4 linked regions of the Danio rerio genome follow. The protein of the gene in region 2 interacts with the protein of the main gene of each other region in a pairwise test. Links are inferred from orthologs where the notes say so. Each region holds a gene or a part of one and is shown on either strand. Other genes may lie near its edges.

Region 1 (6,772 bases), on a different chromosome or scaffold from region 2:
GCATTCAAAATACACTGGAAAAATATTTACAGTTTTTTTTTTACTTCAGAAACAGGATGTGCAGCTAATTTTATATCAGAGTAAATAATCATGGGGCTTCTTTCACCTTCCAGCACCCCATGGTGTGTGGATGCACCACAGACTGTTTGTCTTTTTGATGCTACAAACGTGGATATGCTCCCCGCAACGTACAGCAATGCATTGTCCATTCATATCCTTTTATCTACACAGTGCTCAGCATATATGAGTGCACCCCTCACAAATCAATCTTTTGAATTAATATTTTTTAAGTGAAGCTATACAATATTATATTTGTGCATACACATTAGATTAGTAAGTAGTGAAGCCAAATCTGGAGTTTATCTAACAAAGTAACCGACAATAACGGCCCAAAAACTAGTACACCACAATTTATATGTTATAGAAAAATATTAAATACATATTTAAAAGAGGAAAAATCAAAAGAAGCATTTTTTTTTCAATTTTAGTTGAAATTGTTTTGAATTTAATTGCATTACCTTTCAATGTCTAAATATGTTTGGTGACTAAAATATTTTTATTGTAAAATAATTTATTGTCCTCTCCTAACATTCCTTCCATCAATATGTGGATAAATCAGATTGCCATTTTCTTACCCTTAGAAAAACTGACTTAGGACTTAAGTCTTATGATTAGATATGATTTCTGGTATATCTGAAACCCTCTATGAGAAGTTTGGAGAATGTATCTTGAAAGACTATTTTTATTATTATTTTGTTCATTTTACCCTTCACAAAAGACTTGAATTACTACCCGATGGACGAAAGTATAATAAATAGTTATATTATTGTATATGATGAAATGAGACACTTATACCACTGTTCTGTCATTGCAAATCTTTAAATAAATGTTTAAAATAAATAAATAACTAATTTAAATGTGGGCGAAGCAGTGGTGCAGTAGATAGTGCTGTTGCCTCACAACAAGAAGGTTGCTGGGTCGCTGGTTCGATTCTCGGCTCAGTTGGCGTTTTTGTGTGGAGTTTGCATGTTCTCCCTGCATTCGCGTGGGTTTACTCCGGGTGCTACGGTTTCCCCCACAATCCAAAGACATGCGGTACAGGTGAATTGGGTTGGCTAAATTGTCCATAGTGTCTGAGTGTGTGTGAATGAGTGTTTGTGGATGTTTCCCAGAGATGGGTTGCATCTGGAAGGGCATCCGCTGCGTAAAAATGTGCTGGATAAGTTGGCGGTTCATTCCGCTGTGGCGAACCTAGATTAATAAAGGGACTAAGCCAACAAGAAAATGAATGAATTAATAATTTAAAGGATTTATTTTTATTAGGTTTTTAAATAAATAGGTCTTACACTTTATATTTTCTGATTTTTCATAGTATATGTATTAATTCTGTTACTTTTACCATATCAACCATTTGGTAGTGGCTGATATTTTAGAAATAATGGGATGTGTTGAAAAAAATGCATTGAATTTGTTAACTAGGAATGCAATCCAAAGTAATTGATCCCTGATTTTTTTTCATTGAAGTATATAATTTTAGATTACAGATGTTCATTGGTATTTAATGTTAACAGATTTAAATGCAGATTTAAATGCTGATAAAAGCCACCATGTAAAGTGTATTATGCAGTAAATTGCAACATTTAGTTTTTGAATTAGAAAGATTAAGAGATAAATTCTTGTAAAATAAAAGCTAGTCATTTTTTACCTTTTTCTTTTTTTCCCAAAGCATTTATAGACAATACATTTCAGGTTATGTCTTCAGGTTTGGCAGCAGATGTTTTACAGAGATATTTCTCGAATACACAATATTCGGCCTAGCATTGACCTTTCATACCCAAGTCTAACTGTGAGATGAAATATTTTTAAACCTGGCACAGATGTATAAATACGCCTGTTTATTATTATTTTAATATTATTTATGTTGCAGACTTTAGGAAATCTTGTGTCCATCTCTCTGACCGCATGTCACAAGGATCATGTTTGTTTTTTTCGTTCTCCTGTGCAATCAAGCCCTCTGAACTGATCACATTTCCCTCAGACCAGTACGGTGGCTAGATAAGACTCAGGCAGAAACAATTGCTGGAAGCCGAGCATGCAGAGGAGTGGGCTTTTAAGACATCTTATTTTTGAATCTAGTGCCGTGAACACAATAAGAGACTTCACAAACCATTCTGTGTACGCAGCTTGAGCTCTTTCCTTCAGCTCAACAATGACCTCCCCTGTTAAAACAAAAAGCTCAGCGTTATCAGCACATACTTTCTTTGGGGTGAATGAGGTTTTAACTAGCAGAAGGTGATGAATATTATGTTTAAACAATGCTATTATACTATGTAATGGGCCAGACCTTTCAACACGGAAATTCTGAATATCAAAAGAGCAGGCCTAGTTCTCCATTTATCTTAAAATATTATTTAGAGCGCTTGTTTCTGAGGCTTTTATATTTCATTTTTATATTCTATTACTATTTATAATAAAAGTGCATTTAATATAGTGGAAATTGTGCGCTATAATGTAACTAAATATTAAATTTAAGTTTATTTGTACAGAGCTTTTTACAGTAATTATTGTTTCAATGCAGCTTTACAAAAGATGCACATTTTTGCATTACAATCACATAATTGCATTACTTTAATTAAGTAAACCTCAGTTACTTAAGTTACAATCAAATAGCAGTTATTATATACAGACACATGCAATTTTATAGCATATGAGTGATGTCCAAATAGCAAAATGATTGTAGTTGTTAATATTAATGAGGCTGGATTATTAATCTTGGCTTCACCACGCCAAATAAATTGTGTGAACCTGAATGAAATATTTTAGGGAGACATGATGAGTAACAGCAAGTTAAAAACCGTGTGTGAGACACCACCTTGCGGTCACTCAGCGGTATTACACTCCGGCTGAAGCGCGTCCTCGTGCGTGTTTTGGCGGGGAGCGGTCGCGAGGGGCAGCGTTGGTTTTTTTCCAGTCACACAGAAACTTCATACAAAATACAACCTTTTAAAATTACTTCAGATTTTTTAGATACACAAAATATAATATGGAGCAGTTTGCTGTCGAAGTAAAAGGTACGTTTGCGGTAAAAGAAAGATATGTGGTACCAGTCAATTCAATGTATAAAAGATACGCTATTGTGTATTTACTATGAGATGAGCTATTGTGTTTTTTTACAAAACAATTATTTATCTTACATATTTTAAGTGATATTAATATAATGACAAATAACAGTTTCAACTTACCTTTTGTAAGTAATTTAACAGGTTATGTGAAGATATTTCGTGGTTTGACGTTCCTTTCACAGACCTGTCAGAGAAACTCCTCCACAGACAGAGCCATTCAGACTTGGATGAAGTGATTGATTCCCTCTTCAAGGAGATTTTAACTCTAGATGAAGCTGCAAAACTACAGGATTCACAGGTGTGGAAAATACACTTCTTTTGAAATCTACGGAAGCCCCCAGGGATCTTGTAGCGTTGTGTTTTGAAGACATGACGTCTTTATTTTGTTCTCGACATAAATATATATTATTTCGTATTTTAAGTTAACATCTTACACAGAAATCAGGTAATTGTGGTTCAATATTTAATAATTTAGTTGTTTTTGTAGCTGGAGGAAATCGCCATCCAGTTGTGGAACTGGGCTGTCACCAAACGTGTTGGCACCTCAATTACAGAAGAGCAGAAGGCCAAAGGTCTGTCCTTGTATTAGTCTTTTGTTTTATTAACTTTAATATAAATTAGATTTTTTTTTAAATAATAATACATGTATTAATTAGGCCTAATAATTATAATTAATAATGATTTTACTTGCCTGTATTAAGTATCTATTTAATACTGTTGGGGGTTTCAATCTGTAGTCTGGGAAATGTAGAAATGTTTAATAAATTAAAATAATTGGTCAATGTAGTTAATACAATTTTAAACATGTTTAAATTAGCCTTTTATGGACGCACAAATGAACATACTAGCAGGAGCGGACTTAATCAATAATCAAAGTTAGCAGCCGCCTAGGGCCCCAGGGAATTATGGGTCCCTGACCAATGCCAAGAAGCCTATATTAATCATATATCTCGTTTATACATTTTTTAAATCATATGTTGTAAAATCTGTGTATAGAGTCTGTTCAAATAAAATAACATTGCTCAGTGAAAATGAACGGCTGCCGATTCACAAACAGCAATTATTCAGTTAACTTAAATGATCGTGAATTAAATTTGTTAAAACTTTTTTATTTACTTATATCAAAATCTTTTCACCAAAATGGCTCATTTAGTTTAAATAGTTGCAAATTACTTGTTTTTTTTTTTTATTTGTGAATGTATTACATTTAATTTTAAATAAAAAAGAAAAAGCTTCCAGTAAATATAAAAATATAGAAAATATACTTTTTTATATACTTTTTATATATATTTATTTATTTAAATACTTTAACATGCTGTTTATTTACAATAATAATAATCTACAGAGAAAAAAAATGTATAAGAGAATGTTTTGAGTTTCAGTGCTAGGGCCCCATACCCAGAATTGCTTAGGGCCCCTGAATCACTAAATCCAGTATATATTTTAATTTAATGCCATGTCACCAATTAAAGCTATTGTCATGGCAAGAACATTTCAGTTACAAGTATCCAATCAAATATGAACAAAAATTTGTACATAAATTAAATAAGATGTTTAGTGTTTAACCAAGTCTAGTTTTAAAATGTCTTAAAACTTTGCGTGAGATTTTAGGTTGTATTTCATACAATTTGTTATTTTCCAATGCATCCCACTCCTCTTGCCACTTATTTAAAATGTAAACATTGATAAAATGTCTCATCTCTGGCATTTGTTCACCACTTGTTTCAAAGCATCCTTAGCAGCCACATCAGCTCACTCATTTCCTGAAAGTACAAGATGTCCTGGAACCCAATAAAAAATGGTATGACAAAACTGGTTTTGTAGATGGTGAACTTTAGTTAAACATTATCAATGAAAGGATGATCATTTTTTGAAGATTCCGTCACTTGGAGGCATGATTTGGAGTCTGAAAAATTATTCTTTTGTTGGACATTTTCTATATATTCCAAGTAAAAGTAAAGCACAGGCTTCAGCTATGAATATTGAGCATTCTTTTGGCAGACTAATTTCATAACGATGTTCAGCCACCATTACTGCAGCTACGCTCCTTTCCACTTTTGAACAGTCTGTAAAAATTGGTAAGTGTAGAGCAGGTGTGACCAACCCTGTTCCTGAAGTTCGACCTCCCTGCAGATTTCAGTTGCAACCCATATGAAATACACCTGCCTGTAATTATCAAGTGCTGTTCAGGTCCTAATTAATTGGTTCAAGTGTGTTTGATCAGGGTTGGAGCTGAACTTTGCAGGAAGGTCGATATCCAGGAACAGGGTTGAGCACCACTGGTGTCGAGAATATTGGCTTCTACTAGTATAAAGAAGACAAACAATTGTAAAAAAAAAAAAAAAACATAATTTAACGATAGTACAATAATTTTAGTATAAACATTATTAAATTTAATCAATTAATTATGCAAAATGTCAATTAATAGATGCAGATTTTGTTAATATGTTGTTAAAAATAAATAATTATATAAATGTGTATATAGTTAATATATTATAAAATGTGCTAATGCAATAGAGCTATATAATTAATAATATTTTGGACATTTATAGCAACATTTTACAGTACAATTTGTGACTTTTACACAAGAAACCTTAGATGCATTTAGCATTTTAGGATAGGTTCATGGCATCTAAACAGTTGTAAACCCCTGTATTACAGTTTTTGGGTGCCAATCAATCTTTGTTTTCTATCACTGACAGAGATATAGTTAATATCCTTGAATACAAACAAATAAAAATGTTAAAGTGTATCCCAGATGTTTACATAGATGTCAATTATTTAATTATTTAATACTCTACAAATTTGTTTTAGTGCGTCATGTGGCATGCAGACTTCTGTATTCATGCGGGCCTGAGAACCCATCAGAGAGTATCGTGCGCAAGCAAATACTGGTTAGTGAAAAATTATTTCCAGCAGTCTTGTTTATTAGCTTGTACTAATTTGACATTCACACAGAAGTCAGTAATAAAGTGGTTCATGCATATGCACAGTACATTTGTTTATTTCCATCCCTTGTGCATGCTCCTTGCATATTTGACTGAAATCTTACTTGTTTGTTTCTCAGATGGCCAGTAAAACTGGGAGAACATGGCTCGATTGTAAAAACTCCAAGTCTGCGGATGCTTTTTTGAGCATGGCTGTCAATGTATGTATGAATTCATTGAAAAAAACAGACAATATTGGCGGAACAAGAAAAAATTGCATATAATAAATAAATATATAATGCTATTGTGTGGTGGAATATTGATAAGTACCCATAATTATTTTTCACATTTTGGTAGTGTACTTACTGTAGGGTGTTTTGGGTTGACTTTTCCAATACTATTTAAAACTTGGTTACTCTCTGAACCCAGCCCGTCTCGTTGTAAATTTATTATTTATTTAATGCTTTTTCTGGATAAATTTTACATCCATAAATGAAAAAAAATAAATTCTAAGTAACTCCTTTTTTATTTTCAGAAACGATTTTGATAATATGTGAACTAGGGCTGCAGGATGCTATTAAAATTTTCTACAGTTCTGCAGTCTTTGTAAATATTTTTTTCTTGCATCGAAATAAATAAGACACAATAATATTGACGTAATACATGAATAAGAAACCACAAATATGCTACTTTTACAGAGCCTGGAGACTCTTTACAGCAGAC
Region 2 (6,238 bases):
AAAAATAAAAAATCAATGTTGGTCTTAGAGAAACAGTGGCAGGGAAATTAACCTAAATATCATGTTGCCATATGGCAACACCATGCGTCAGAGGGTTAAATACAATTTAATTTATGTAATTAGGAATTAATGACTTTTTTAAGTAAGATACCCAACACTGAGAAAAAAAGTATGTTTACTTCATAGTCATAACCAGTTGTATTGTAAGAACATTTTAACATCGCATGCTGCACTCTATTGTGCAGAGATCTGTCATTAATATACAGTTGAAGTCAGAACTATTAGTGAAATTAGAATTATTATTAAAAATTAGATTTTTTTTATTTTTTCAAATATTTCCCAAATGATGTTTAACAGAGAAAGGAAATTTTCACAGTGTGTCTGATAATATTTTTTCTTCTGGAGAAAGTTTTATTTGTTTTATTTTGGCTAGAACAAAAGCAGTTTTTAATTTTTCAAAAGATATTTTAGGGACAAAATTATTAGCCTCTTTTAAGCTATATATTTTTCCAATAGTCTACAGAACAAACCATCGTTATACAATAACTTGCCTATTTACCCTAACCTGCCTAGTTAACCTAATTAACCTAGTTAAGCCTTTGAATGTGACTTCAAACTGTATAGAAGTGTCTTGAAAAACATGTAGTCAAATATTATTAACTGTCATCATGACAAAGATATAATAAATCAGTTATTAGAAATAAGTTTTTAAAACTATCATGCTTAAAAATGTGTTGAAATAATCTTCTTTCCATTAAACAGAAATTGGGGAAAAAGTTAAACAGGGGGACGAATTCAGGAGGGCTAATAATTCTGACTTCAACTGTATATATATATATATATATATATATATATATATATATATATATATATATATATATATATATATATATATATATGCCTTCTAAATTATTGAGAGAACCAATCAAATTCAAGTAAAGCGATGCTGCTCACACGGTACGATTTCAGCCACAAATTGTTCGTCTGAGAAAAAATTAGTAGAAAAAAAAGTGTATTTCTGGCAGATTCAGAAGAATTTAAGCTACAATTGTTTTGGATTATTTAAAGTCACACAGTGTGAGCCGGGCTTAAGTTTACACAGTACAAGGGAAGATTTAAAGGGACAGTTCACCTATTAAATGAATATCCTGTCATCGTTTACTAATCTTCCACTTGTTCCAAAATCTAAGTTGAACACAAAGGGAGGTAAATTATTAACACTGAGGTCAGTAAATTATGGGGTATTTTTCATTTTTGGGTGAACTGTTCCTTTAATTGAGAAGAGCTGTGACATATCTGACCCTCTTGATGTCCTGCTGTGTTCTGGTGTCCACAGTGAAGGGTTTGATGGGGATGTCGGGATGATGGTGTTGATAGTATTTGTGTGTGAAGTCATCACAGTCGTACAGCAGGAATCGTCTCCCCATCAGGTTAACCTCCTCGCCGACCCTGAAGTCTTGAGGACAGAAATACTCCTTCACGTCATGAGGAGAAACTTCCAGAACGCAGCTGGGGAACGGCTCTGAGTGCAGAAAGGCATACAGTTATATATAACGTTAATATATTGATGTGAACTAGACCAAAGTCTTCAAAGGTTTCAAAATGTATATTAATTAATAATATTGTAAAAACTGCTTATAAGACAAGGTAATTGCAACTTTTGCTTGACCTAGATTCCAACATATAAAGAAATTTCAAATAAAATATCTAATACAATTTTAGATATGTATTTTGTTTTCTTGCGTGTCATGACCATTAACCATCGTCTGGGATCGTGAATATTTAAAGCTTTTGTTAAATTTAGGTATTTAAAATCTGCAGTGTTACTTTGTGTTTTTTTTTCAGTGAAACAAAAATGTGAGTGCTGTTCTAAAAATGTAGAATAGTAAGTGGTTCATTCGGCTGTGGCAACCTCTGATATACACGTGACAAAGCTGAAGGAAAAGAAATAAATGAGTAATATCTTTTAAAAAACCTTCGAACTGCAGCAGGTGCGTTTAAGGTAATCCTGTGTGTGTGTGTGTGTGTGTTTGTCTCACCGCAGGTTGGTTTGATGTGTTTGGGGATCTTCTGTCGGCGGAGCAGCACTGGAAATGGGTCCCGGCCGCTGTTTGCCTCGTGATGTTCACAGATCTCCACGGAGTCGTCAACCAGATAATAATGTAGAGTTACAGGCCGTTTCTCCCCATAGAGAGAGTCTGAGTCGTCCCAGAGCGCAAAGAAGCGCAGCACCTGGAGAATACATGTAAGTGAGCACACACAGCAGTATGTACAGCTTATTGTTGAGCAGAACTACAGCAAACTGGCGAGTATTACATATTCATTCATTCATTCACTCACTCGCTCATTCATTCATTCATTTATTAATTCATTCATTCACTCACTTATTATTTCATTCATTTAATCACTCATTCATTCATTCTTTCACTCATTAATTAATTCATTCATTTACTCACTCATTTATTAATTAATTCATTCACTCATTATTTAATTCATTCATTCATTCATTCTTTTTCTTTCTTTCTTTCTTTCTTTCTTTCTTTCTTTCTTTCACTTGTTAGTTCATTCATTCATTCATTCATTCTTTCTTTCTTTCAATTGTTAGTTCATTCATTCTTTCTTTCTTTCTTTCTTTTACTTGTTAATTCATTCATTCATTCATTCATTCACTCACTGATTCATTCATTCATTCTTTCTTTCTTTCTTTCTTTCTTATCACTTGTTCATTAATTCATTTATTCATTCATTCACTCACTCACTCACTCATTCAGTCATTCATTCATTCACTCATTAATTAATTAATTCATTTACTCATTAATTAGTTTCATAATTCATTAATTCAATATTTAACTAATTATTTAATTGATTAATTAATTCATTTATTGTTCCTGACTAAACTATTTTTGTCCAATGTTTATAGTCATTGGCGACCCTTGCTAACTGGATAAATTAGTGTAGGCTTTTATATCAAATATATTATATTTATATCAATGTTTTGTTAAATGTTAATTATTTCATTATTTATAAAACTTTTTGTGTTGTTTTGAATATATTCTCTATTTTTAAGTTGAAGTTATTTTGTGTTTTTTATTCATTTATTTTCTTTTCGGCTTATTCCCTTTATTAATCTGGGGCTGCCGCAGAACCACCAATTTATTCAGCATATATTTACACAGCGGATGCCCTTTCAGCCGCAACACATCACTGGGAAACATCCACACACACTCATTCACACACACATACACTACCAACAACTTAAGTTACCCAATTCACCTATAACACGTTTTTGGACTTGTGGGGGAAACCGGAGCACCCAGAACAATCACCTCACAGCAAGAAGGTCACTGGTTCGAGCCCCGGCTGGGTCAGTTGGCGTCTCTGTGTGGAGTTTGCATGTTCTTCCTGTGGTCGCGTGGGTTTCCTCCGGGTGCTCCGGTTTCCCCCACAGTCCAAACACATGCGGTACAGGCTAATTGGGTAAGCTAAATTGAATGAGTGTGTGTGGATGTTTCACAAAGATAGGTTGTGGCTGGAAGGGCGTCCGCTGCGGAAAAACATGCTGAATAAGTTGGTGGTTCATTCCGCTGTGGCGACTCCAGATCAATAAAGGGACTAAGCCGAAAAGAAAATGAATGAACCACTGAATGACTATGAAATAAATAATATAATATAATTTAAAATAATATAATATCAAATAATATAATATAACACTTCTGAGCATTAAAAAAAGCTTTTGTTTTTATTTATTAGTAAATATTAAGTCTTGTCAATAAAATGTGTTGCAGTTAGTCTACTAACAGGAGGAAATTATAAAACATAAAATTGAGCTGAAAGCATGAGAAATAAACCAATAAAAACAACAGCAAATATACAAATATACTTTACAAACCAGTTTTTTTAAGCGTTTACCTGTCGATCCAGAGCAAGGAATCGCTCCAGCTGATGGTTGTGGTCATAGGGTGTGATGTGGGTTTGTTGGTTGTGAGCACGGCGGGCAGTGTACGGGTCACTGGGAATGGACTCAAATTCATTCAGTACAATTCCCTGACTCTCCATGAAGTCCTACACACACAAACATACATATTTGTTTTTGTGAATTGTGGAGATATTGTATTGGTTTCCATTGTATTTATACTGTACAAAATGTATACACACAATCTTGTACAGCTATCTTTATGGGGACTTCCCATAGACATAATGATGTTTATACTATAAAGACTGTACTGTATATTTGATTCCTTTACCCCAATCCTACCCCCAAACCCGACCATTACAGGAAACAATCTGCATTTTTACATTTTAAAAATACTTAATTCTGTCTAATTTATGAGCTTTTTTTGTCATGGGGACCAAACAAAATTGACTGGTATTTGCTCCCCACAACATGAGAAACACAAGGTAGACACACACACACACACACACACACACACACACACACACACACACACACACACACACACACACACACACACACACACACATATTTATTCAGACCAAACTCATCAGACATATCACACCAGCAGACTCGTTGTCTTTGTACCTGTGTGAAGGGGTCGCAGTGTGTGATCCTGTAAACCTCTCCAAACAAGTTGATGTCCATCCCCACGTTCAGGTCCTTCCAGTGGTACAGATCTCCACGTGGGTTTTTGCTCAGTCTCTGCCGCTTGATCAGTTTTCCCTGAGGGATTCCAGAGTTTTCCACCGGCGGCTCGGTCACACAGATGCTGTCATCCTCCAGGTGATAGTAAAACACCACTGGACGAATGCGGAAGTGCTCATCCCAAGAGTGAAGCACTTCCTGACGGAAATAACCATAGAAACGCAACACCTGCAGAGGTCAGAGGGGAAAGGTGAGATGGAGAGATGGACAGACGGACAGACAGAAGTATAGACAAGACTAGATAAAACAATAGATGGATGGATGGAGAAAACTACAGAAAGAACGATCGATAGATAGATAGATAGATAGATAGATAGATAGATAGATAGATAGATGGATGGATGGATGGATGGATGGATGGATGGATGGATGGATGGATGGATGGATGGATGGATGGATGGATGGATGGATGGATGGATGGATGGATGGATGGATGGATGGATGGATGGATGGATGGATAGAGAAAACTGCAGAAAGAACGATAGATCGATAGATAGATAGATAGATAGATAGATAGATAGATAGATAGATAGATAGATAGATAGATAGATAGATGGATGGATGGATGGATGGATGGATGGATGGATGGATGGATGGATGGATGGATGGATGGATGGATGGATGGATGGATGGATGGATGGATGGAGAAAACTACAGAAAGAACGATAGATAGAACGATAGATAGAACGATAGATAGAACAATAGATAGATAGATAGATAGATAGATAGATAGATAGATAGATAGATAGATAGATAGATAGATAGATAGATAGATAGATAGATAGATAGATAGATAGATAGATAGATAGATAGATGGATGGATGGATGGATGGATGGATGGATGGATGGATGGATGGATGGATGGATGGATAGAGAAAACTGCAGAAAGAACTATAGATAGATAGATAGATAGATAGATAGATAGATAGATAGATAGATAGATAGATAGATAGATAGATAGATAGATAGATAGATAGATAGATAGATAGATAGATAGATAGATAGATAGATAGATAGATAGATAGATAGATAGATCTTCACCTTCTTGTCATAAGCAGCGTGTGCCGGTATGAACTCTAGTGGCAGGTGTGATCTATCGGTACCGTAGGTCAGGTTAGGGATGTCGGTGATCAGCTGGTTCCTCTCGCTGTGACTGATGTTCACCGACAGCAGCGGGTCTTGACCGATACCCACCACGGGCCGCCGGGGCTGAGCGTACCCGTTCTTAAAATCAAGAGTCTGAGCTCGGTGGAAAGCAGATTTCTGGAGGACAGAAGAATGGAACAACATGATTTATGCACATCATAGGGATATGAAGAGACACTTCACCCAAAACTGAAAACTCTGTCATCATTTACTCACCCTTTATATTCAATTCAAATCTGTATGAGTTTCTTTCTTCTCTTGAACAGAAAATTAATGTTGTAGAAAGCTAAAAAGCAGTAACCATTGATTTCTATAATATCTGTTTTTCCTACTATGAAAGTCAATGGTTACAGGTTTTTAACATGCTTTAAAATATCTTCTTTAGTGTTAAACAGAAGAAATAAACATACGTTAAAAGTTTGGAACCCTTTG
Region 3 (6,810 bases), on a different chromosome or scaffold from region 2:
ACTTTCCATCCGGAGCTCCTTCACGGGACTCCACACTTGTAAACAATCGCTCGCGCGGCGTCCCGCCATTCGCGCGCCTCTCGGTCCCGCCCAGACTCGTCAGCGCTACCAAGCCGACCAATCACAGAGCTTATGCTACGCGTCGTTGCGACGTGTAGTTACATTTTTTGAGAGGTGCACGTCAGTGACGGCGATGGCCACGGCGAAGGGCTATGCGTCAGCGCCGTAGCATACGCCGGTGTTTGACGCAGAAGTATAAATCAGGCTTTATTGTGCTGGTTGCATTTGAATTGACAAGGATGTCTGAAGTAATGACAGTGTACTCTTGTAATAAATTTTTTTTTTTTAACCTTGTAACAGAGTCATAATGCCAATGAAACTGACAGTTTTGTAGGATGCATGTAGGGCTCAAAAAAATTAGGCTGGTTAATCTTGCTTTTGAAAACTTGTATTGTCAACAGCTAATACATAACGATTGCAGAAAAGCAAGTCACCACAGTGCATTTATCAGTATCACACCTTTTTCACTTGCATGTACAAGACATTAAAGAAAATAGGTTTCTAATTTGGTTTAATTGAAGCCAAATTCAAAGCCATGCATGATTACATCATCCTTAATTGCGTAGTAGATTTTAAACTGTAAAATGTTACGAAAGTTAATGCTGATCAAAGTAAGTTGAACTAGATCATCAAAACACGAGGGCAAATTTGCTCCTCATGTGATTGTTGCTTTAAAGGACTGTTCTCACCTTGGTATACCTATAGGCAGAGGTCATTACGGAGTCCTTAATTGGGTCCACCAAGTTTTCACCATTTTCGTCCTTCTCCATGACTGTGGTGGCTGGTCAAACTGAAGAGAAGCCCAAATACCAGACGCTCTAGGCACCTGTCAGATACTGTAGTGTTAGTTTAACTGCTGCATCAATGTACTGCAACATTATTTGGAAAGATCTTAAACAACTACAACATCTTTTAAAGGTATAATGGGTTATATGCACAGCTAGTGTTTTCCAGCCAATGATGTACTTCCGGTGAAAAATTTGTGACTATTTTCAATTTCATGAGGTTCTTTTTACAGCAGCGATGTTGTAATGCTTTAATCTATTTACCTGATTATATTTGAAATGCATCCATTTGGTTATAAAACCATAAAAAGAGAGGCTGACATAAATGTAAAGTCTATGTGCATATACCCCATTCACTCCAAAAAAACAATATACGGTTTATTTATTCATCCTTAGGCCATTCAATATGAAGGGGACTTTTTCACCAGTAGAACATTAAAATATATTTTTAGTATTTAGTGATATTTCTATTAGGGATGCTCCAATCAATTGGTTGGAGATCCGAATCGGCCGATAATTACAATTCAAGACTTGTTTTTTTTTTTCTTTGTAAAGTTGCTTCTGAACGCTGCATGTATGCAAAATCCTTAATTTATTATCTTAGGTAAGGAGTTATACTCATACTTGAAGGGTAATTGTGCTTATGCAATGGTTAAGTTATATAAAGCTTAAAGAATTTGTATTTGTAATCTATACAAGTTGATCATTATTCTGGTTCTGATATCATGTTTTTTTTTTTTTACCTCTCAAATTATCATAAGCTGCTAACATGCATTTTATTTATCACCAGGGACAACAGTTCCAGGTAGGCCTGTGCAATTAATCAAAATTGAATCGCAATTTGAAAAGTTACAATTAGCTAAATCGCAAGAGGCAGTGATAGGGAATATATGCATTCATTTAATTTCCCCCACCCAGAGAAAATGTGTGACTGCCATCTGTGTATGAAAGTCTTACTAGCCAATCGAGAGAGCATGCTTTCATTCTGCCCAATCAGAACCTTTCAATCCGTCTTATATCTGTCGTGTTAGTATGCTGAGTGTTCTGTATTTTTAGAATTATAAAATTTTATATTTTTTTAAACATTTGTTTAAGATACATTATTTCCCTAATCTGAGTTGAACTTGTTTACAAAAAGGTAAGGTAATTTTATTTGTGCTTACTGTTTGCTCTAGAGCAGAGTTGACCAAAGTTGGCCCCGCGGGCCAAAGTTGGCCCATTGTAACCTTTGATTTGGCCTATCATCCCATCTGAGAGGAGAGCAAGTATGTTGAAGAGGGTTGGTGTGAACGTCTTACGGTTTTAGAGAGCGTCATTTTTTATTTGATGTAACCTTTTTTTTGGTTTGTTATATTGCTGAGCAAAAAAAAAAGCAAACAGAAATGAAATGTTTCAATTAAATGCAAATTAATCAGAATGAAAAAAATAAATGTAAATACTGTCACTCAACGGATAAAGGACTATGTAGAAGACATAGGCAGGAAAATCTAGGCATAAACTAGTGTAAATTTGTTATACATTGTTTTGTTTTTACTGTAATAAATTTTTTTTTTTAAATGCTGTATTAGTTAATTGAAAGCAATGTTTTCTAGTCAGTTTTAAGCATTATTAAATGAAATAGAAAATTACCCGTGGTAAATAACCCTATGGGCAGCACAGTGGGTAGCACAATCGTCTACCCACACAGCAAGGTCACTGGTTTGAGCCCCGGCTGGGTCAGTTGGCATTTCTGTGTGGAGTTTGCATGTTCTCCCTGTGTTTGCATGGGTTTCATCTGGGTGCTCCGGTTTCCCCAACATGTCCAAAGACTTATGGTACAGGTGAATTGGGTAAACATACGCTGGATAAGTTGGCGGTTCATTACACTGTGGCGACTCCAAATTAATAAAGGGAATAAGTCAAAAAGAAAATTGATGAAATTACCCCACCTATATTTGCCTTCGACCCATTCGCCTCAATCAACTTTGATTTTTGGCCGTTCATAAGAATAATGTTTAGGCACCCCTACTCTAGAAAAAAATGAGTTTAATTACTGAATATTTAAAAACTAATTTGAATAAATGTTGGAGTAAGTTAATAACTATCGAGTTCTTTATCTAACACACTGCATTTTAGCAGTAAGGAGCTTTGATGCAGATTGAGCTTAAGCTTGACTACAAAATTAAAATCTCAAATTAAATCACAATATATCAAAACAATTGCAATTGGATATTTTCCTCAAAATCGCACAGCTCTAGATACAGGTACATTACAATTTAAAAAATAAAAAATAAAACTTACAATAAGAAAAAAACAGTTCAACAACAAATAAATCTCCTACATTTTAATGACATTAAAAGCAAATTAACATTTCTGACTGAACTATCCTCTTTATAACAACCAAGTTATCTAGATTAAAACCAGTGAGTAACTGAGCGTGATTATACAAACAAGCATCTTAGCAAGTATAAAAACTCCTCAGTCAGCGAAGACTTCAAATAAAATTGAACTTGAATCCATTAAGACGGATATAAGGTGTAGCGATTTAATATGATGTAAATGTCTGGCTCGTGTGTAATATGAGAAGCTGCTGTATTAGCAAATGACGAGGCAGACTGCAAACAAACTGCAAAAAGCCTAACCAGCCAGATGCTAAAGCACGAATCTAAACTTTCAATCTATGAATAACTAAAATATTCTAAAAAATAAGTGTTGGTCAGCACATTTATCAACTCACCTGATATTTGAAACGGTGTCACAGCACCTTCTCTGTCCCCGCCGGGTTACCTCAGTTAGCTAGCTTCTGGCTACCTGTCTTATACCAAACTACAAGAAATGCCGGAGTCAGTCCAGAATTCAGAAAGGACGCGGATGAAGTTTCCTGCATAAAAATAAAGTTTCTCTATCGACGGTGTTGAAGGGGGTTCAGATATCGCTTGTCACTCCAGGTGGAATCGTTAATTGACAGAGAGGAGCATCTCATTAGCAAACTGGCTACACTTATCAAGCCGACGCCGAGGATTTATTTAGGTTCTTACAGACGAACGACTATTTGTCCAGACTTTAATTGTACCTTTGGTTTATTTCTCCTTTGGGTTTTTTCGTGGGAGCGATAAACATGGAAAAACGCCGTGTTTGTTTGTTTATTTATAGGCTAGTGAGCCAGGTTAGCGGGCTAGGAAACTTATCCACACTCATAAATCTGAACAGCGCAGGTCTAAAGCGCGCTAGTAAATTAAAGCTCACGTATATTAGGAATAAATCGGGCGGAAATTTTGGTTCGACGACTTAATTAAAGCTTGTATTCCGGCTTCTACCATCAATGTACCTCGGGGTACTTTCTCAGAGCTCTCTCTTTCGTCTCTGTTCAGTCGCAGAGCGGCGAATTTCTTCAGATCTCTGACTGGTTCTGAGAAAGGCCCCAATCAAGGATTATATAGCTTCTAATCACGCCTTCTCTAAAGTTTTACGAAACTAGGTCTTATTTTTGATGAAGATTTCAAATGTTACAATACAGAATGTGAAATTATGAGGTTAGAAGTGTGTATTTTATACAACGCTGTTTACAAGAGGCGTTAAAGAATTTTGAACACGAATATGTTTCAGGCATTCAACGCGGCCACCCTTTATAAATTGTAGTCACGTGACAGGATCTAACACGCTCAGTTAAGTTTTTTTTATTCAGGTTGAGTTTGTTTTTGTTGGTTGGTTTACAGGATTTTGAGCAAAACTAAGAGCTTTTTATGAAGAGATTATATTTAGTTAAAAGCGTTTTATACATGTTCAAAGGCATGACGTTTTATACATGTTCAAAGGCATAAGTAAAATATCAATTGCTCTTTATAAAGTCTGCATCGATAATAGGAATAATAGTAATGCTATTAATATTAATAACACATTATTTTGAAATAAAATTATTACATTTTAAAAAGTAAAATTGTATTTTTACATCATACAACAGAATTTTTAAACATACGTTTAATAATTTAACCTACATTTTTAAACTGTTATTTTTAATGAGGCCTTTGAAAAAACTTTTATTTTGACATTGTTTACCGGAAGAATGTTCTTTTAACTCAGAAGAGCGGCAGTTATGTTTTGTTGTTGATACTAGTTGTCAGAATGATGACACCTATTTACCGAGCTACAACATGTCTTAGCCGTTAAGTGAAAACTTAAATGACTTTATCTTTACTTTAATTATAGTTCAGGTTACGTTACCTGCAGGAAGATTGCGCGGCGATGGACTAAAGGTTATGTGTCTAAAGTAACGTTACAGCGTTTAAAATGCAAACGACAAGACCACACGCTGGGAAACAGCTGTCGTGTGCTGTTGAAAAGAACCGGGCACGGAAGACAGTAACACGCAAAAACACTTACCGGGTCGGATATACTTGGAACCGAGGTGGTAGACTTAAAGAGCTGAGGATACGGTGGGAAATCACGAGTTTTATCTTTAATTTGCAAACTAAGATGTAATGTGACAAGAACTGACATTTGTTTTTATTGTTTTAGGCACCTTGCTCGAAAGTTCCTTTTCTTGTGGATTAGGAGGACATTTGGACGAAAAACAACATCACAAGCCAGGTCTGACGAGTTTAATTAATACTTTATAAGTACAAAAAGCACTACTGCAGTGGTAAAGTAACGTTACTAATGTGATTTATGAGTCTCTTTATTCATTTTATCACAGGCTGTCAGTGGAGTCTTAAAATGTCTTAAATTACAGAAACTAAATTTTAGGCCTAAAGTTTTAAATTCATTGAAATATTGTCTGACTGGTCAGGGTTATTTTAAATGGGTCTTAATTGTCCTTTGTTTATGCACAATGGACACAATAGATATAAATAAAACTTTTAACAAAACTCTATTTCTAGCTAATATTATGTTGCACATACATTTAGTTTAGCAAAGTTTTAATTTATGTTATGTTGAAAAAAATAAAGGTCTGCTTGTTTTGAGACAAGCAGACCTTTTAAAATGATAAGTAATCATTTTAAGTATTTTTTTATAATTAAAATATGTTGCTAAGAAATAACTAATTAGAATTAGTTTTTCTGATAGGACAAGTATTTTTTTATTGCTGGGCCATTATAAAACAGCCTTAGCATTTAGCCTTATATAAGTCTAAAGTTTCATTCTAGATGGTCCTAAATTTGACTTGGTTAAACCTGCAGAAACCCTGTATTAAATTTGTACTTTCTTTCAGATCTCATTATTGTAAGGTCATCCTGAAGAAGGTCTTCAGGTCTTGGAAAGATGAATGGTGGCATTCAAGAAAGGAATGGACTCTCAATATAAGGGCCGACTGCCATTATGCGTAAGTTGAGTTTGCTACTGCCACAAAGGTTGATGAGAAAATCAGTAATATTGTAAAATATTATTACAGTTTAAAATGTAGCTCAAACATATTATTGTTTTTATCCTGTTATGCCAAACCTGAAAATTTAGCAACCATTTCTTCAGTCTTTAGCATGACTTCAGAAGTCAGTCAATAAGCTGTTTCGGTGTTCAGAAACAGCTGCTTGATGTTTTGTGTAAACCATAAATAGACAAAGGATGATAACCATTTTCAAGGTATATTGTGGTTTAGAAAAGTCAAGGTTTCAAAACTACCAAATTGTTTTGTTATACCATTCCTACAGTGTTTGTAAGATTTTTTTTGTTTGTTTGTTTTTTTTGTACAACAGTTTCTTCAGCAGAAAAGATATCCAAAAAGGCTGTTTTAATATGTAAAGAAATCTGTGTGTTTGAAATGAATTAAGCCAGCAAAAGTCAACGATTTATTTATTAGTTGTTAAGTTATTAACCCTAACGTGTTTACTGCCCCAAAATATTATAAACGTTTCTCAAAATGAAATGTATTTTACGTCCAAAGTGGAAAAAAGTTTTTCCCCAAACATTTAAAAAGAATATATTTTAGAGCTGTAATCCAAATACAGAGAAATCATGAAATGATTATAGAAGGTTATCATACCGTCAGAAT
Region 4 (6,113 bases), on a different chromosome or scaffold from region 2:
AAACATGTCATGTTAATTGACATCTTATACTCCTTTTTAGACAAAGCAAAACACCTGTTTAAACTTCAGAAACACTGATTTTCATTTACAACAATTGAAAACATTTGTAACTTCTTCTGGGCAAAATGCTCCAAAAGACAATATTTTTTAATTTAAATTTTAAGGAAATGTTATTTTAATAATTACTATTAAATGTTATCTGCAAATTACTTAAAAAATTATAGTTATAAAATAATTTAACCATAAAATGATTTACTGAACTGCATAATATAGATCTAATGATCAAGTAAATTCAAAGAATTTTGAATTATATGGTCTCTTAATATACTGCCAAAAAAATAAAGGGAACACTTGGAGTTGGATTGCATTGTTTAAGTGTTCCTGTTATTTATTTTTTTTATCTCCCTTGCCCCCCATTATTGAAGGTCTGAAAACGTGGGATATTTTGTATGGAACCATTGTAATATTTAGCAAAGTGGTCTTTTAATTTTCAAAAAACTTGCTTTGATTTGTTCCATTCGTGCTTTTCTCTTACAGATGGCCTTGACTATTGCCCATTTCACGTTGTTCTAGCAAGGCGGTTTGCCTCTATTCAAGTTCGCACTCTGAAAAGTACATTAGCAGAGACCGGATTCTTCACTCTCGCTACATTCTCAGAGAAATTGGTCTCTTAAGGGCATATGAGTCCTCGAAGTCACATGTTCGCCTGACCATTAATTTCGATCAAATTGAGAGGCAGCCATTAGTCATGCCTCCTTGGGAGCACATGATGAGAGAATCTTTGGCTTCTTTTTTGTTATGTAGGAGTCTCGTTTGCCTGGCAACAATTGGACGTGAGACTTATCCATGAATATTTTAGCTGTTAATGGCTTTCTACCATTTGAAATAAATGCTTCTGCTTACCAGCACCCCCCCGCAGGTTTCCAGTCTCCTGCTGGCAGCGGTTTAGAAACGTATCAGCCAGTGACGGCGGCTAATAAGCCCTGCCGTGTCTCATCAAATATGAATGACTGATATCTGCAATTAAAAAGGACTCTGTTTTGATGTCCACACGACAAGAGATTGAAGGTGCTTCTTTATTCCTCCCCATGTCAGAAATGAATCATTTTAGTGGGAGATTGCATGACAGATTTGATGGAAACAGATGGATACTAGTGTGTGGAGATGTCGGCTAATCCAAAGTGAGTCTAACCATATGTCTGCCTTTGCCTTTCTATGAAACAGCCGATTTAGACTGTAACTGAATTTAGCTGCTTGTCAAGAAGAGCTGTTTTTCAGAATTAGTCAGCGCACTGAATGTTTTGTTTGCTTGCAGAATTCACAGGGTGATGGATCTATTTTGAACTGATATTTTTTCCCACGGAGTTCTTGGCTCTGACTAACAGCAACTTGTAGGACTTTTCATCAATTTTCTTTGATTGACAGGTTTTGGAGCTTGTCTTCTTCTGAAGTGAATCAGATTGTTTATGAATCAGCACGCACATGCATGCTAAAATATCTGCGTTGGATGTATGTATGCCATGTGCTCTAAAAAAAAACACGATCAAACCCATTTAAATTTGGATCAATGCTGGAGGAAATTTAATTTTTAGGTCACATTTTGCTGCATAATATTGCAAACATTCAATTTAGGACACAGTATCGCTCTTACAAGCAGACCTCACTGCACATAATAAAAAAATTTAATAAATAAATAAATGTAGCTCTATTTATACAGCCCACTGTCATTTCTCAGCATACACTCCACAGTTCACAGACAGTGTAGATCGTCAACAGTGTTTCGAATAACTTACAATGCAGCTTTATTGTGCGAGAACATTCACAGACTCAAAAGATTACAACCTGTTGATCACTACATGTGTTCACATTACCAGAAATCACAAAACTTGCTCACAAATGTAAAGACCATCACACTCAGCCTTTAGATTTCACAGTTCTCTGCAATCATATCAAGTACAAACCGTGGATCTTCCTGTAAAGACAATTGTAAACAGATGACGACTACATACACAAACCAAACAAAGCCCCACAGTACAGTACAGTCTCTCTCCTTTCTCTCTTGGTCCGTTGGAGTGTGTCACGTAGAAGCAGGTTAGCAGAGTAATCCAGAACAGGTTTTCGGTAGAGGACGCTGGTGTTGGTTGACGCGAGATGGTTTTCAGCGGGTCATGTGTTTAGTGGTGACAGTTCCTCTAGTGGGGTCACTTGACAAAATGCAGAGCCTCGCACTGGACCACTGATCCTCGACTGCTGTCCAGGCTGGTGATCAGACGAAAGCCTCCCTTGAGAGCCAGCATCACCGTCTCCAGCTTCAGACACTCTAGTGTACACAAAAACGTGCTGTCCTGCTTCAGCACAAGCCGAGAGCCCTGCTCCGACTTGATGAAATGTCGAAACTGGATGATGTTGGATGACACTTCGAACTCCTCTGGAAAGCCGTCCAGGCGACTCTTCGAGATCTGTACCAGCCGGTTCTTGACCTTCTCGATGAAGGTGTTGTCGCTGCAGTAGACTCTCAGACCCTGTGAGCGCTCGTGGCTGTCCGTCACCTCCAGGAAGGCAGGTTCGCGCTGTGTGGCCTGCTGCTGCTCCCAGTCCTGCAGGGCTTGGGCTAGTTCGCTCAAGCGGTAGAAGTTGGCTTCTCTGCGGAGAAGTTCGGTTTCCTTGAAGTCTTCGGGCAGCACTAACTCGCCCAAGCGCAAGAAGTTTAATATGTGACGGAAGATAGGGCCGTCCCGGTCAATGAAAGTGTTGCCCATGGAGTCCACGTGCAGCACTGGCTTTTTCCCAGTCACCATTTCTTCCAGCAGGGAGCCGGGGTGTTTGGCAAGGGTGTGCCTCTGGGCTGCGTACAGGTACCCCCCCACGTTGATGGTGATGGTGCCAGAGGAGGGTTTCTTAAAGCTCTTGCTGGGCTGCAGCAGGTCCGGATTGATCTGTCTCAGTTCGCTCTCCATCCTTCTGAGGTTCCATTCCATTCCGTTCCTCACACCCAGCCTGGTGGAGTGTGTGGGGAGCGTGCGCGTGAGCGGACGCCTGGACAAATAGGAGCGCAGCTGAGCGGCGCTGGCATGGAGCGCAGGAGCAGTGTGCGCTGCCAACGCTGTCTGAGCCTTTCACAGCCACGCAAACACATATATGTGTGTGCGCATACACTCGCGCGGTGGGAGGAGGGGTGTTAAGGGTGGGCTCTACTGCGTCAGTGCTGTGGGCTCGGAAAGAGCGAGAGCTTTGCTCACTGCCCTCCGCACTAAAGGCTGAATTTAATCACCTTTCCACTTCAGCTCCTCTCTGGCTCTGGCTCGGCAATTAGCGTCGCTGCCCTGTGATGAAAGGAGTCCTCGGTTGGGTGGCGGCACGTGAACTCACCGAGAGGGCCAAATCACAGGGATCCCACATAATGAACTGCCTCCAATGAAAGTGCGAGAGGAGCGAGATGTTAATGCTTTCACGTCTATCGTGTTAAGTCGTTGCTGTGTGATGTGCCGACAACTGGCAGCTTTATCGTCAAACGAGAGACGTATCCAGTACAGTGTAGGTGTAGTTATGTAAATGATTTGTTTGTCTTCATATCAAAAGAGATGAATGCATTGAAGGTTTCTCTCTTTCTTTCAGAGGCTGGGTTTTTGCTTTAAGGTAATCGCCATGACCCAGTTATCGGTGGAGCCTTTGATAAGAAAGCCTGTGTCTTGACTGGAAGCCATGGGGGCTGAACCCGTAATTGGCCCCAAGCTGTCTTTAAGGGTGTTGTACATCTAACAAAGGAGTGCAGGGCTGTGTCAATGTATAAACCACCCAGGGATGAGAACCCAAAATCAATATCCTTATATATAATCCCGTCTTAACATGAGTTTTCAGTAGCAAAGATCCCAAGCTCTCGTCTGTCTGAGAGAAGACATGCCCTTAAACTGCAGCAGCATCAGTGTGACTTTTTTTTTTTTTTTGATGTCCCCGACTAATGACAGCCTGTCAATCATTACAGAATGACGACACCGCTATTGTAGCCCAAGGATAGGAAGATGGACTTTTCTGAGACGAAATTTGTGCCATGTACGTCATTAGCATCTGAGACAGGGTGGAGGCTAAATCATTATCCGAGTGCTGGTGTCAGTTTGAGCTTTACATATTTATTAGATATCTTAAATTGGATTTTAACAAAGGCTTGTCATGTATTTCAAAATGTAACATCATTTACATTTTACACAAAATTCGCCACCTTTTTTTTGATGAACCTCCATTGAAAAGCTGGCATTTTGGTTTATTAAATCACTTTTACCTGCTATGCCAATTGTTTTGGTCAAATTGTTACAGCTAACAATGTTTTAAGAAAGAAAACTGTTAAATTACCGAAGCAAATTACTTCATTACCTTGTTTTTTACAATATATTGCAACACTAAAAGTCGTTAGAGCAGAGATCAAGGTCCACAATGGAGTCTAAAGTGTAAAAAAGATATGTTGTTTATTTAAGCTCTCACAACCTTTAATCCAGGTATATTGATTATTTTAAGTTGAACAAATATCACCATACTTACCACATTAATTGCATTTACTGTATTAAGAGTTTTAAACATAGTTTTTGCAAAAGGTGTTTGAATATGTATACATAAAGTGTTGTCTGATTAAATATGCACTAATTTACATATAGTTCCAGAACAGAAACATGAATATTTGATGAAGTCAAGTTTAAATATTGTTGAATGCTTTTGACATGTTTAAATGTTGTTGACATTGAAAGGTTTTACTTTTGTTAGCTCCATAAATCAGAAAATACTGTCAACAGCCAAACTACTGCCAAAAAGCACCATGTTTTTACAAGATATCTTTATAAAAATCTTCAAAAATAGATATGCATTGCCATTAACACTTTTAGGATCAAACATAATGTGATAAAATGTACATTTATAACTATATTTTGGATGCTTTTACCAACAATTCTGAAAGAAGCCATAAAACAACAATGTCTTTCTCTAATGTCTCACCTTAAAAAATGGAGCATCATTCATATTTAGTTTTAGCCATGTTATGATGTCACAAATAGCACATCCATGTAAGCCCTGGCATCACTGGCACACATTTTGCTTCGCTTTTTTAAACTATGCCACCCATGCACATAGCCATCTGATTACAGATGCAGTGACAGTTCATTATGGTCATATATGACTGATTATAGTTGTTATAGACGATGGCTTGGTCATGGTTTAATCATCATGTGATTACTGGGTTTATTCATCTGCATTTGAATTGCAAACCGGGTTTAACTATGCCAGAGAAATAGTGGGTGGCTGACCTGCTTTTTCTCATCTATCTTTTTGTTTTAATTAGTGCACTTGTTTGTTTCAATTTGAAGAGGACCAAATTGATTTCAATTCATTGGTGGCTGATTGGTACAAGCAAGAGCACTTGGATAAGAGATATTCTAGTTAATTTGTGCAGAAGAACATGACGTCTTGAGAAGCACATGAACAAAGTGTAGCATATGTTGTTTTTGGTGGCTAGATTAATAATCAAATATGCATATTTATCAAACCACACTGGGCAAAAGGATGTTTGGATACTGAAATCATCATTACAGTACAAAATAGGAAAAAAGAGTGGTATTTTGAAGGATAGTTAAAACTAAAGTAAAATAAAAGGGGTATATGATTGTAAATTGAACATTTGTTCCCACAATTTATTCATTGATGGCTTTGATTTGACAGTTTGTTAAAATCATGACAACGTGGTACAAACTCTTTTTTTCTTTTTTTAGTTAAATCATGATTGTTAGTATGACCAATATTTAATCACTTCAGCAAAGTTTGGTATATCTTATTATTAATATTTTAGATAAATATAGTAATTTGTGTGCTTTACAAATATTTACAATACTGTATGTTCATTTACTAAATGCCCCAAAAAACATGACACATTTGTGTTTAAATCAATAGCACAACTTAATGATGTGAATAAAGTGCAACTATTTTTAAATAGCTTTTATTTCCATAATTCAAATACAGCGGCAACATTGCATATATCATTTTGAATAAAAGTATTTAGAAATTCTGTGAATTATTTTTTAATGAGGCAAAGAAAATACAAATTAATCTGTCAGAAAATAGCAGTTAGTACATGG

The links. The genes of interacting proteins can lie anywhere in the genome.
Region 1: the proteins of efhc1 (region 2) and tex11 interact in binary tests that used the Homo sapiens proteins (3 or more experiments, as listed by UniProt). The two-hybrid records come from large-scale screens. The link is inferred for Danio rerio from reciprocal best matches to the Homo sapiens genes EFHC1 and TEX11.
Region 3: the proteins of efhc1 (region 2) and eif4enif1 interact in binary tests that used the Homo sapiens proteins (3 or more experiments, as listed by UniProt). The two-hybrid records come from large-scale screens. The link is inferred for Danio rerio from reciprocal best matches to the Homo sapiens genes EFHC1 and EIF4ENIF1.
Region 4: the proteins of efhc1 (region 2) and kctd4 interact in binary tests that used the Homo sapiens proteins (3 or more experiments, as listed by UniProt). The two-hybrid records come from large-scale screens. The link is inferred for Danio rerio from reciprocal best matches to the Homo sapiens genes EFHC1 and KCTD4.

The regions. Positions count from the first base shown.
Region 1 is NC_133189.1:37,593,959-37,600,730, forward strand, and holds the start of tex11 (testis-expressed protein 11), read left to right. Parts: upstream 1-2,920; 5' UTR 2,921-3,043; coding exon 3,044-3,071; intron 3,072-3,242; exon of another isoform or gene 3,243-3,304; coding exon 3,305-3,420; exon of another isoform or gene 3,421-3,475; intron 3,476-3,609; coding exon 3,610-3,694; intron 3,695-5,936; coding exon 5,937-6,016; intron 6,017-6,189; coding exon 6,190-6,270; intron 6,271-6,747; coding exon 6,748-6,772. UniProt on the Homo sapiens protein: Regulator of crossing-over during meiosis. Involved in initiation and/or maintenance of chromosome synapsis and formation of crossovers.
Region 2 is NC_133195.1:51,340,131-51,346,368, forward strand, and holds part of efhc1 (EF-hand domain-containing protein 1), read right to left. Parts: 5' UTR 5,951-6,238; coding exon 5,702-5,950; intron 4,829-5,701; coding exon 4,541-4,828; intron 4,063-4,540; coding exon 3,910-4,062; intron 2,233-3,909; coding exon 2,040-2,232; intron 1,523-2,039; coding exon 1,302-1,522; intron 1-1,301. UniProt on the Homo sapiens protein: Microtubule inner protein (MIP) part of the dynein-decorated doublet microtubules (DMTs) in cilia axoneme, which is required for motile cilia beating.
Region 3 is NC_133181.1:43,476,618-43,483,427, reverse strand, and holds the start of eif4enif1 (eukaryotic translation initiation factor 4E transporter), read right to left. Parts: upstream 3,853-6,810; 5' UTR 3,562-3,852; intron 887-3,561; 5' UTR 831-886; coding exon 750-830; intron 1-749. Other genes in the region: protein SFI1 homolog, read left to right, coding at 5,112-5,257, 5,340-5,411, 6,034-6,144. UniProt on the Homo sapiens protein: EIF4E-binding protein that regulates translation and stability of mRNAs in processing bodies (P-bodies). Plays a key role in P-bodies to coordinate the storage of translationally inactive mRNAs in the cytoplasm and prevent their degradation.
Region 4 is NC_133184.1:20,477,762-20,483,874, forward strand, and holds kctd4 (BTB/POZ domain-containing protein KCTD4), read right to left. Parts: upstream 3,115-6,113; 5' UTR 2,979-3,114; coding exon 2,202-2,978; 3' UTR 1,553-2,201; downstream 1-1,552.